Linked DNA regions of Mus musculus. The protein of the gene in region 2 interacts with the protein of the main gene of each other region in a biochemical or structural test. Links are inferred from orthologs where the notes say so. Each region holds a gene or a part of one and is shown on either strand. Other genes may lie near its edges.

What was found.
Region 1: the proteins of Hdac3 (region 2) and Nr2c1 form a complex in vitro, tested with the Homo sapiens proteins (4 studies listed by BioGRID). The link is inferred for Mus musculus from reciprocal best matches to the Homo sapiens genes HDAC3 and NR2C1.

What each region holds. Positions count from the first base shown.
Region 1 is NC_000076.6:94,168,189-94,172,008, reverse strand, and holds part of Nr2c1 (nuclear receptor subfamily 2 group C member 1), read right to left. Parts: intron 961-3,820; coding exon 776-960; intron 32-775; coding exon 1-31. UniProt on the Homo sapiens protein: Orphan nuclear receptor. Binds the IR7 element in the promoter of its own gene in an autoregulatory negative feedback mechanism. Primarily repressor of a broad range of genes.
Region 2 is NC_000084.6:37,941,296-37,945,115, forward strand, and holds part of Hdac3 (histone deacetylase 3), read right to left. Parts: intron 3,731-3,820; coding exon 3,597-3,730; intron 2,915-3,596; coding exon 2,834-2,914; intron 2,483-2,833; exon of another isoform or gene 2,457-2,482; coding exon 2,383-2,456; intron 2,226-2,382; coding exon 2,161-2,225; intron 673-2,160; coding exon 583-672; intron 472-582; coding exon 413-471; intron 164-412; coding exon 84-163; intron 1-83. UniProt on the Homo sapiens protein: Histone deacetylase that catalyzes the deacetylation of lysine residues on the N-terminal part of the core histones (H2A, H2B, H3 and H4), and some other non-histone substrates.

The DNA.
Region 1 (3,820 bases), on a different chromosome or scaffold from region 2:
AGTCAGTGCTTTTGCAAGAGTGTCAAATGCCCTGTGAGGAGGCAGCAGAAGCTGTAAGCTTGGCCAATCTCCAACAATAACATGAAATTCTTATGCAAAATTCCAGAGTTGAGATTTAAGTCAAGGGACTGTGGGAATAGCACAAGGGTAGGCTGTCTAGCACGCATTAGGCCCTGGGTTTAGTACCAAGGACTACAGAGAGGGAAGTTTAAGCCTAAAAATTCTTTGGCAAATAGGGAAGGGTTATGGCTCAAAGGTAGAAGGCTTGTGTAGTTCACAGGAGGCCCTGGAACCCACCTCCAGTGTCACTGTCTGAGAGAGGTGTGCACACACAAAACAAGAAAACAACTAAGCATGCTTCAGAAAACAGCTGTCTTGTATGACAGACAGACTGCTGGATTGCACTGACCTTTGGCACTGTTTCAAAAATCAACAAGTTAAACTCAGTAAGTGTACTTTGGATTATTGCATACTACCGTACTACCAAGAAATCACAATCTCTTCAAGTCTGAGAGAAATCCTCACACTTATCCCTACATATACAAATCATCTATGCCAGACTTCAGCACTAATTTTACATTCAGGGCTCGTGAAACTCAGAATGGAATGTGTTGGCCATGTTGTACTAACAGCAGATTTTCAGTTAAACCTTACACTGTCTTACCTTTTTCAAGTCTTATAGCAATACTGTTTTCAGAAACTTTTATAGATTTAATGCAAAGGCATTTTGGTCAACTAAAATAAGACTTGGAAGATGAGACCACACGGATCCTACCTTGAAACATCCCCATTGGTCTGAATATCATGATGAAAAGCACCGAAGGATGTATCCCCATTGCGTAAGCTCTGCACCACAGGCATATCCCCACCGCAGTGAGAAAGGTCTTTAGCTTTGCCGAGATTCGCTAATGATGTGACCACACTGGCCAATGTGCTTAAGTCTCCCTGACACGATTCAGCCTTTAAGAAAAGAAGAAAGCACTAAAAATTTGCAAGGTGGGACAGATATGCTTTAAAACCTTAAGTATCAAATTCTAGATCATGAAATACTAAAAGAAAAGCATATTAGCAAATTAAATTGATGAATACAGCAGCTTGTTTCTGTAATCCCCAAAACTCACAAGGCTGAGGCAGAAGGATTGCCACAAATTCAAGGCCAGCGTGGGTTACATAGTGAATTCCAGACTTTGCTGGACTATAGAGTAAGAGCCTGCCCTGAGAAAGAGAAAGAGGGAGAGAGAGGGAGAGAGAGAGGGAGGGAGGGAGGGAGGGAGGGAGGGAGGGAGGGAGGGAGGGAGGGAGGGAGAAACTAACTGACTCTTGAAGAAAATACAGGCTTTAAAATAGATACAAGTTCTTAAAAAATTGTATAAAAGTTTAAAAGAAAAATTATACTACTATACTTACTAGCTATTCTAAGTCATAGTTGCTTTCTCTATAAAAAGATATTAAATTAGGTAAAAATTCAAATTCTTTTTAGCATTATTATTAAAATGACCAAATTTTCTTTATGATTAAAACAATTTTAATTTTATGTGTATGGGTGTTTTGACTGCATGTATGTCTGTTCACCACATGAAGCCTGGTGCCCTCAGAGGTCAACAGAGGGCACTGGATCCCCTGGAACTGGAGTTATGGATGGTTGCACGCTGTCATGTGGGTGCTGGGAACTGAACATGGGTCTTTCACAGAGCAGTGAAACCTCTTAACCTTATAGCTGTCTCATCTCTCCAGGACCAAAGATTTAGTTTTATTTCTTACAAAATGTGTATTTACCGGTGTCTATGTGTGGTAATATTCATGACTGCTGGTGCTTGAGGCCAGCAAATAGCACTGAATCCGCAGGAGGTGGAGTTCATCATGAGCCGCCTCTGGCAAAGGCTAGGAAATGAGTTCTGATCCTCTGTAAGAGCCGTCTCTGCTCCTACCCACTGGGCCATCTTCCTAGCCATCTTCCTAGCCCCTCAAAACGTCTTACCGAACAATCTGGTCTGGTATCTAAATGCATCATCGGCTGCCCCATTTTGTCAGTGGCGGTCTGTCTACCATACTCCAGCTAAAGTCGCTGCACGGGAAGAGCAGGGCCACTCTTCCTTTTCCTTCCTTTCAGCTCCCAATCTTAAAGGCAAGGAGCTGACACACGGCAACTTCTCAATGTGATACGTGAGGTTTTGGAAATATTTCCAATTCAAAGGTTTTAATATACCAAATGCTTCAGTTTATTAAATTCCTTTGGTGCCAGGCACACGCATCAGTGCTTTAAGGGCTTAGCATTACACTTTTGGGTGCTGGGATTGAACCAAGAACCTCATGTTGTACAACATATATCCTTCCACTGAATGATGGTCACCTCAGTACTGTGGGGCTGAGTGCTGCAGAGCCAGAGCCGAGTGCAGGGAGAAGAACGTCTTCCCACAAGCACCCTCACATCTTCTCAGGGCCAGCGAGACTGCTCGGAGTCAAAGCACTTGCCACTAACAATGGGGACTTGAGTTTAAGGCCCAAATCCCACATGATGGAAAGGGAGCACCCTCATGATGGAAAGGGAGCACTGACCCCAGAAAGCTATCCTCTGACCTTCATGTATGTTGTGGTGAATACACAAACACACACACACACACAGAGTAAATACAAATAGATGTAAAAATAATCTCTTTAGGGAATATTTTCTTCTTCTCATACAGTTTTTGAAGACTATAGAAAATTTCCACATTTTATCTAAATAAAGAAAGCTTTTTGATCTGGGGAGATGGCTTAGTGGGCAACAGTGGCTGCTGTGTAACACAAAGGTCTGAGTTCAGATCCCCAGGACACACACACACACACACACACACACACACACACACACAATCACGTGTGTTCTGTAATCGTGACACTTGGGGGAGACAAAGATGAAGGACTGCTGGGACTCACTGGCTGCTAACCCAATGGGACATCTGACTCTGGGTTCGGAAAGACTCTGTGTCAAGGGAATAAGGCGGACAGCAATAAACAGCAGTACATACCCTTTGGCCTTAAAGAACATGAGGGTCCCCACACAAGCGCGCGCGCGCGCGCGTGTGTGTGTGTGTGTGTGTGTGTGTGTGTGTGTGTGTGTACGCGCACGTGCATGTCTTTTCTTTAGACCCTGTGACAAATGAAGATCTGCTCCAGTCTTAAGGGACTCTAGATAACTTGGGTTGTGTAATCTGAAAGCACAGGCAATCTCGTCCTACTCTGATCCCCCCAGCTCCCCGCATCCACAGCATGCTCAGGAAGGTTGGTGGCTGTCTATAATCCTGACGCTCAAATGAATGTTTTGATTAGTACACCAAGAGTTTCTTTTTTTTTTTAAAAGATGTATGTATGTATGTATATATGTATGTATGTATGTATGTATGTATGTATATATATGTATGTATGTATGTATGTATGTATGTATGTATACAGCATTCTGCCTGCATATATGCCTGCAGGCCAGAAGAGGGCATCTCATTATAGATCATTGTAAGCCACCATGTGGATGCTGGGAATTGAACTTAGGACTTCAGGAAGAGCAGCCAGTGCTTATAACTTCTGAGCCATCTCTCCAGCCTCCAGGAGTTTTACTTGGAGCTATCTTAAGTACTGGCACAAATAAATCTAGCAGGGAAAAATAAGAGGAATAGAGGTAGGAAGTCTGTGCTATCCTTCTGCCTTTTCAGATGGGTTCACAATAGGGCACAGATGATCCTCAAATCAGAGTGTAGCCCAGGCTGGCTACCCTTGTAGTCATCACCTTTCGAGTTGCTGGGATTACAGGCAGTATTCCATTCTGTTTGGTTTGGATCTACCCCAAGTT
Region 2 (3,820 bases):
CTTGCTCTCTCCACTTCCCCCCTCCTGGACCTCTCCTGAACCCCCCCCCCCATTGCTGTGTCCAGCCTCTCCAAGCTGCTAACCTGGCGTGAGTTCTGATTCTCGATGCGGGTGCTGACATCTGGATGGAGTGTGAAATCTGGGGCAAAGTACTCGAAGTATTCTTAGAGATGAGAAGCAATTGGGAGAGGGGATGAACAAGAGTATGGCTGAGACACCAGAGTGAATCCCATGGCTTTCTGATCTCCTCTCCGAGGCCTGGTCCCCATGTGTAAGAGTATTTGCTCTGCTCTGAGCACAGGGATTTAGTCTGCAGAGCTACCAGAAGGTGCAATTTCCCTCCAAACAAGGTCATTCTGAGGACTGGTGAGAATGGTGTCCCCCTGTGGTGGCATCATGAAGTGGATCTTACCACTATAGGGAAGTTCCTCACTAATGGCCTCTTCTACCAGCAGAGATGTTTCATATGTCCTGAAACCAGCAAGCAGAGGGGTTTGGGTTGATGGCGTGGGCTGAAAGGACCACCCCTCCAATTTTAGGGAGTCTGTCGTGAACCACAGAGTAGTAGAACAGAACACTCACCAACACCGGGCAACATTTCGGACAGTGTAGCCACCACCTCCCAGTACCAGGAGAGGGATATTGAAACTCTTGACATATTCAACACATTCCCTGTTAGAAACAAGAGGACTAGGTAAATCTAAGACATGTGACCCCAGACATGACTGGAAATATTGTACAAAGACTTGACCAACAATATTTCTCTGTCATATTGTGTAGTATAACTCAAAGTTGCATTCTTTGTGTGTGACTACTTGTATAAACGGGTTTGTCTTCACATGTGTGCCAGTGCATGTGTGTCTGAGGATGTGTGCATGTATGTTCACACATGTATACAAGGGCTAGAAGACATTTTCATGTGTTGGCCTAAAGATACTAGCCACCTTTTTTTTTTTAACCTGGCACTTGCCAAGTAGGCTAAGCTGGCTGGCTACCAAGCCCTATGAATCTTCTGGTCTCTGCTTCACCAGGGCTGGGATTACAGATCATAAATGGGTGCCACCGGGCCTAGTGTTTTTACATGAGTTCTGGGATCAAACTCAAGTCTTCATTCTGTATAGCAAGCACTTTTACTGAGTGTGCTAGTCACCCTGTCCCCACCTGGCTCTGAGCTATATGCTACACACACACACACACACACACACACACACACACACACACACACACACACAAACACACAAATGAACAAATAAAAATACTAGCGTACTTTACTGTGTTGTGTCTCAGTGAACATTTTAAAATAAAGCACACCCTCACGGCCTTGCTTACTACTCTCCGCCACACCTGGCCTGCTACCCAACTACTCCCATCGGTGTCGCCACCAGAATGTCTGTTCTAAGCTTCAGGACATACCTTCATACCTCGTACTTCTCTCCATCAACACATGCCCTGCCCAAATAATGTGATTGGCTTCCTAACTGGCTGCCCACTACCCACCCTGACCCCAACTCCCACACCAACCCTTTCTTCATTTAGCAGTCAGAACAGTAACTCTCAAACTCATTGGACCCTGTCACTTCCCTGTTTAAGATCCTTCAACGGTTTTCTATCACCCATGGAAGACAGGGTCTAATAGCTCTGCACACTCTCAGCCTGGCCAGCTTATAGCACCTGCCTATGTTCTGGCCTCATAGGCTGTACTGTCTCTTGTCAAGACAGTAATTCTTTTTTACTTCGGTCTTAGGGCTTTGCACTGGCCCTTCACACTGCTTGGAGTAGGATTCTCTGTTCTCCTTTTACGGCTCACTCCTTAGTCTCCAGGTCTCCCATTTCACCTTCTCAGAAAACCTTTCCCAAAGCATGCTGTCTACTATACATTCCCAAGCCAGGTGTGGTGACCTGAGCTTGTAATCCCAGAATTTCAGAGGCTCAAGCAGGAGGGTCACAAGTTCAAAGCCAGCCTATGCCACACAGTGAGCCCTTAAATAAAACTGTACCATTAAAAAGTAGATTCCCTGTTGTTACCCTGTCTTATTTTTTCCCTCATTAGATTTTTGATTGTATGTATGTGTATCATATACACATATATATGCAATAATTAATAATAATAACAACAACAAATTACAACTTTAAATAACAACAAGAAGGAAGGCAACGCACCCATGTCCTCGAATGCTGAGATTGAAGCAGCCTAATCGATCACAGCCCAGGGAGTCAGCGCCACACTGCAAAAAGGAAAATCCCAAATGGCTACAGTAGCACGAATGCTCAGAACATCAGTGTCCTCTAGCGTCCTTCCTCACCAACTTAGGGAGCTTACGCTTCCTGATCTCCTTCCTGTAGCCCAGGCAAGTCCTCTTAGGGAGGTGCTAAGGGAGTTACCTGGAGCACGATGCACGTCGGCTGGTAGAAGTCCACCACCTGGCTGATGACTGGCTGGAAAAGGTGCTTGTAACCTGGGAGAGGGCCAAAGGTGGGCAACCTGGCACCCCAAGGGGATGGGGAGACAGGGAACAAAAGGAAAAAGGGGGTTGAGAGAGCATGTAGCCCAGGAAAGGGGCGACCCACAGAACCAACCACTGGTTCTGAACTTCTGGAGGGTGTTACAACTGCCAAGTTAAACACTAGCAACCTTCCTCCCAGAAGAATAAATGAACAAAACGTATACACACATAATATATGTCATACAAATTCCAAGGGTTCATGGTCCCTCTGAAGGCCATTCGTCCTTAAGGAAACCTGGCCCAACAATAGACAATACCAGGCAGAAGAGGTTAATTGAAAGAGAAGAAAAGGGGAGACGAGTGAGCAGAGAGAAGTCATCAGAACTTACTCTGGTCATCAATGCCATCTCGTAAGGGCACATTGAGACAATAGTAGCGGCCACTCTCTGCTCCAACTTCATACATGTCACCTACAGAAAAGAGAGCGCAGTGACCGTGCACAGGAAGTTCCCTCAACACAGCCGTTCCTCTGTGCCTTCTACCACCAAGGCTCCAGCAACCTGCATTCACTCAATACAGGGTCACAGCTATGTAACTCAGGATGGCCAGGAACTTGTTGCATTACCCAGGTTAGCTTTGAACTCTTAATTCGCCTGTCTCGGCCATCTGATTATTGGTATTATAGGTATGTACCTCCTTGTCTGGTTCAAAAAATTTTACTTAGCCGGGCATGGTGGCTCATGCCTTTAATCCCAGCACTCAAGAGGCAGAAGCCAGCCTGGTCTGTAGCAATAGACAAAGAATGAACATAAAAACTAGAATAAATACAACTAGCAGTGAGGACTCTAAGAAAAAGAGAAGGTGAGGTACCTGTTTGACTTAATGGAGTGGTCAGAAAGGTTTCTCTGCAGAAAGGACATAATACTTAAGACCAGAAGGCTAAGGAGTCAGTCATGGCAGAGAGCTGAAGGACAGCCAGGGGCAATGGCACATCCCTGGTCTCCCTAATTCAGCATGCTGATTATGGAGGATTCTGTACAGACACACACACACACACACACACACACACACACACACACACACACACACAAAGAGCTAAGGGGTACAAAAAAAAAACAAAAAACAAAAAACCACAGTAATTCTATTCCCTACCTGTTCCAGGAAAGAAGTAATTTCCGTATTTGTGGAAGGACACAGTCATGACCCGGTCAGTGAGGTAGAAGGCTTCCTGAACCCCGTCACCATGGTGGATGTCGATATCAATGTAGAGCACCCGAGGGTGGTACCTGGTGTGAGGACAGAGCCATGTTCTGAGGAAGAGGCTTATCACCCAGTCCTCTCCTCCCCAACACAATCTCTGGAATTATTTAGAGTCT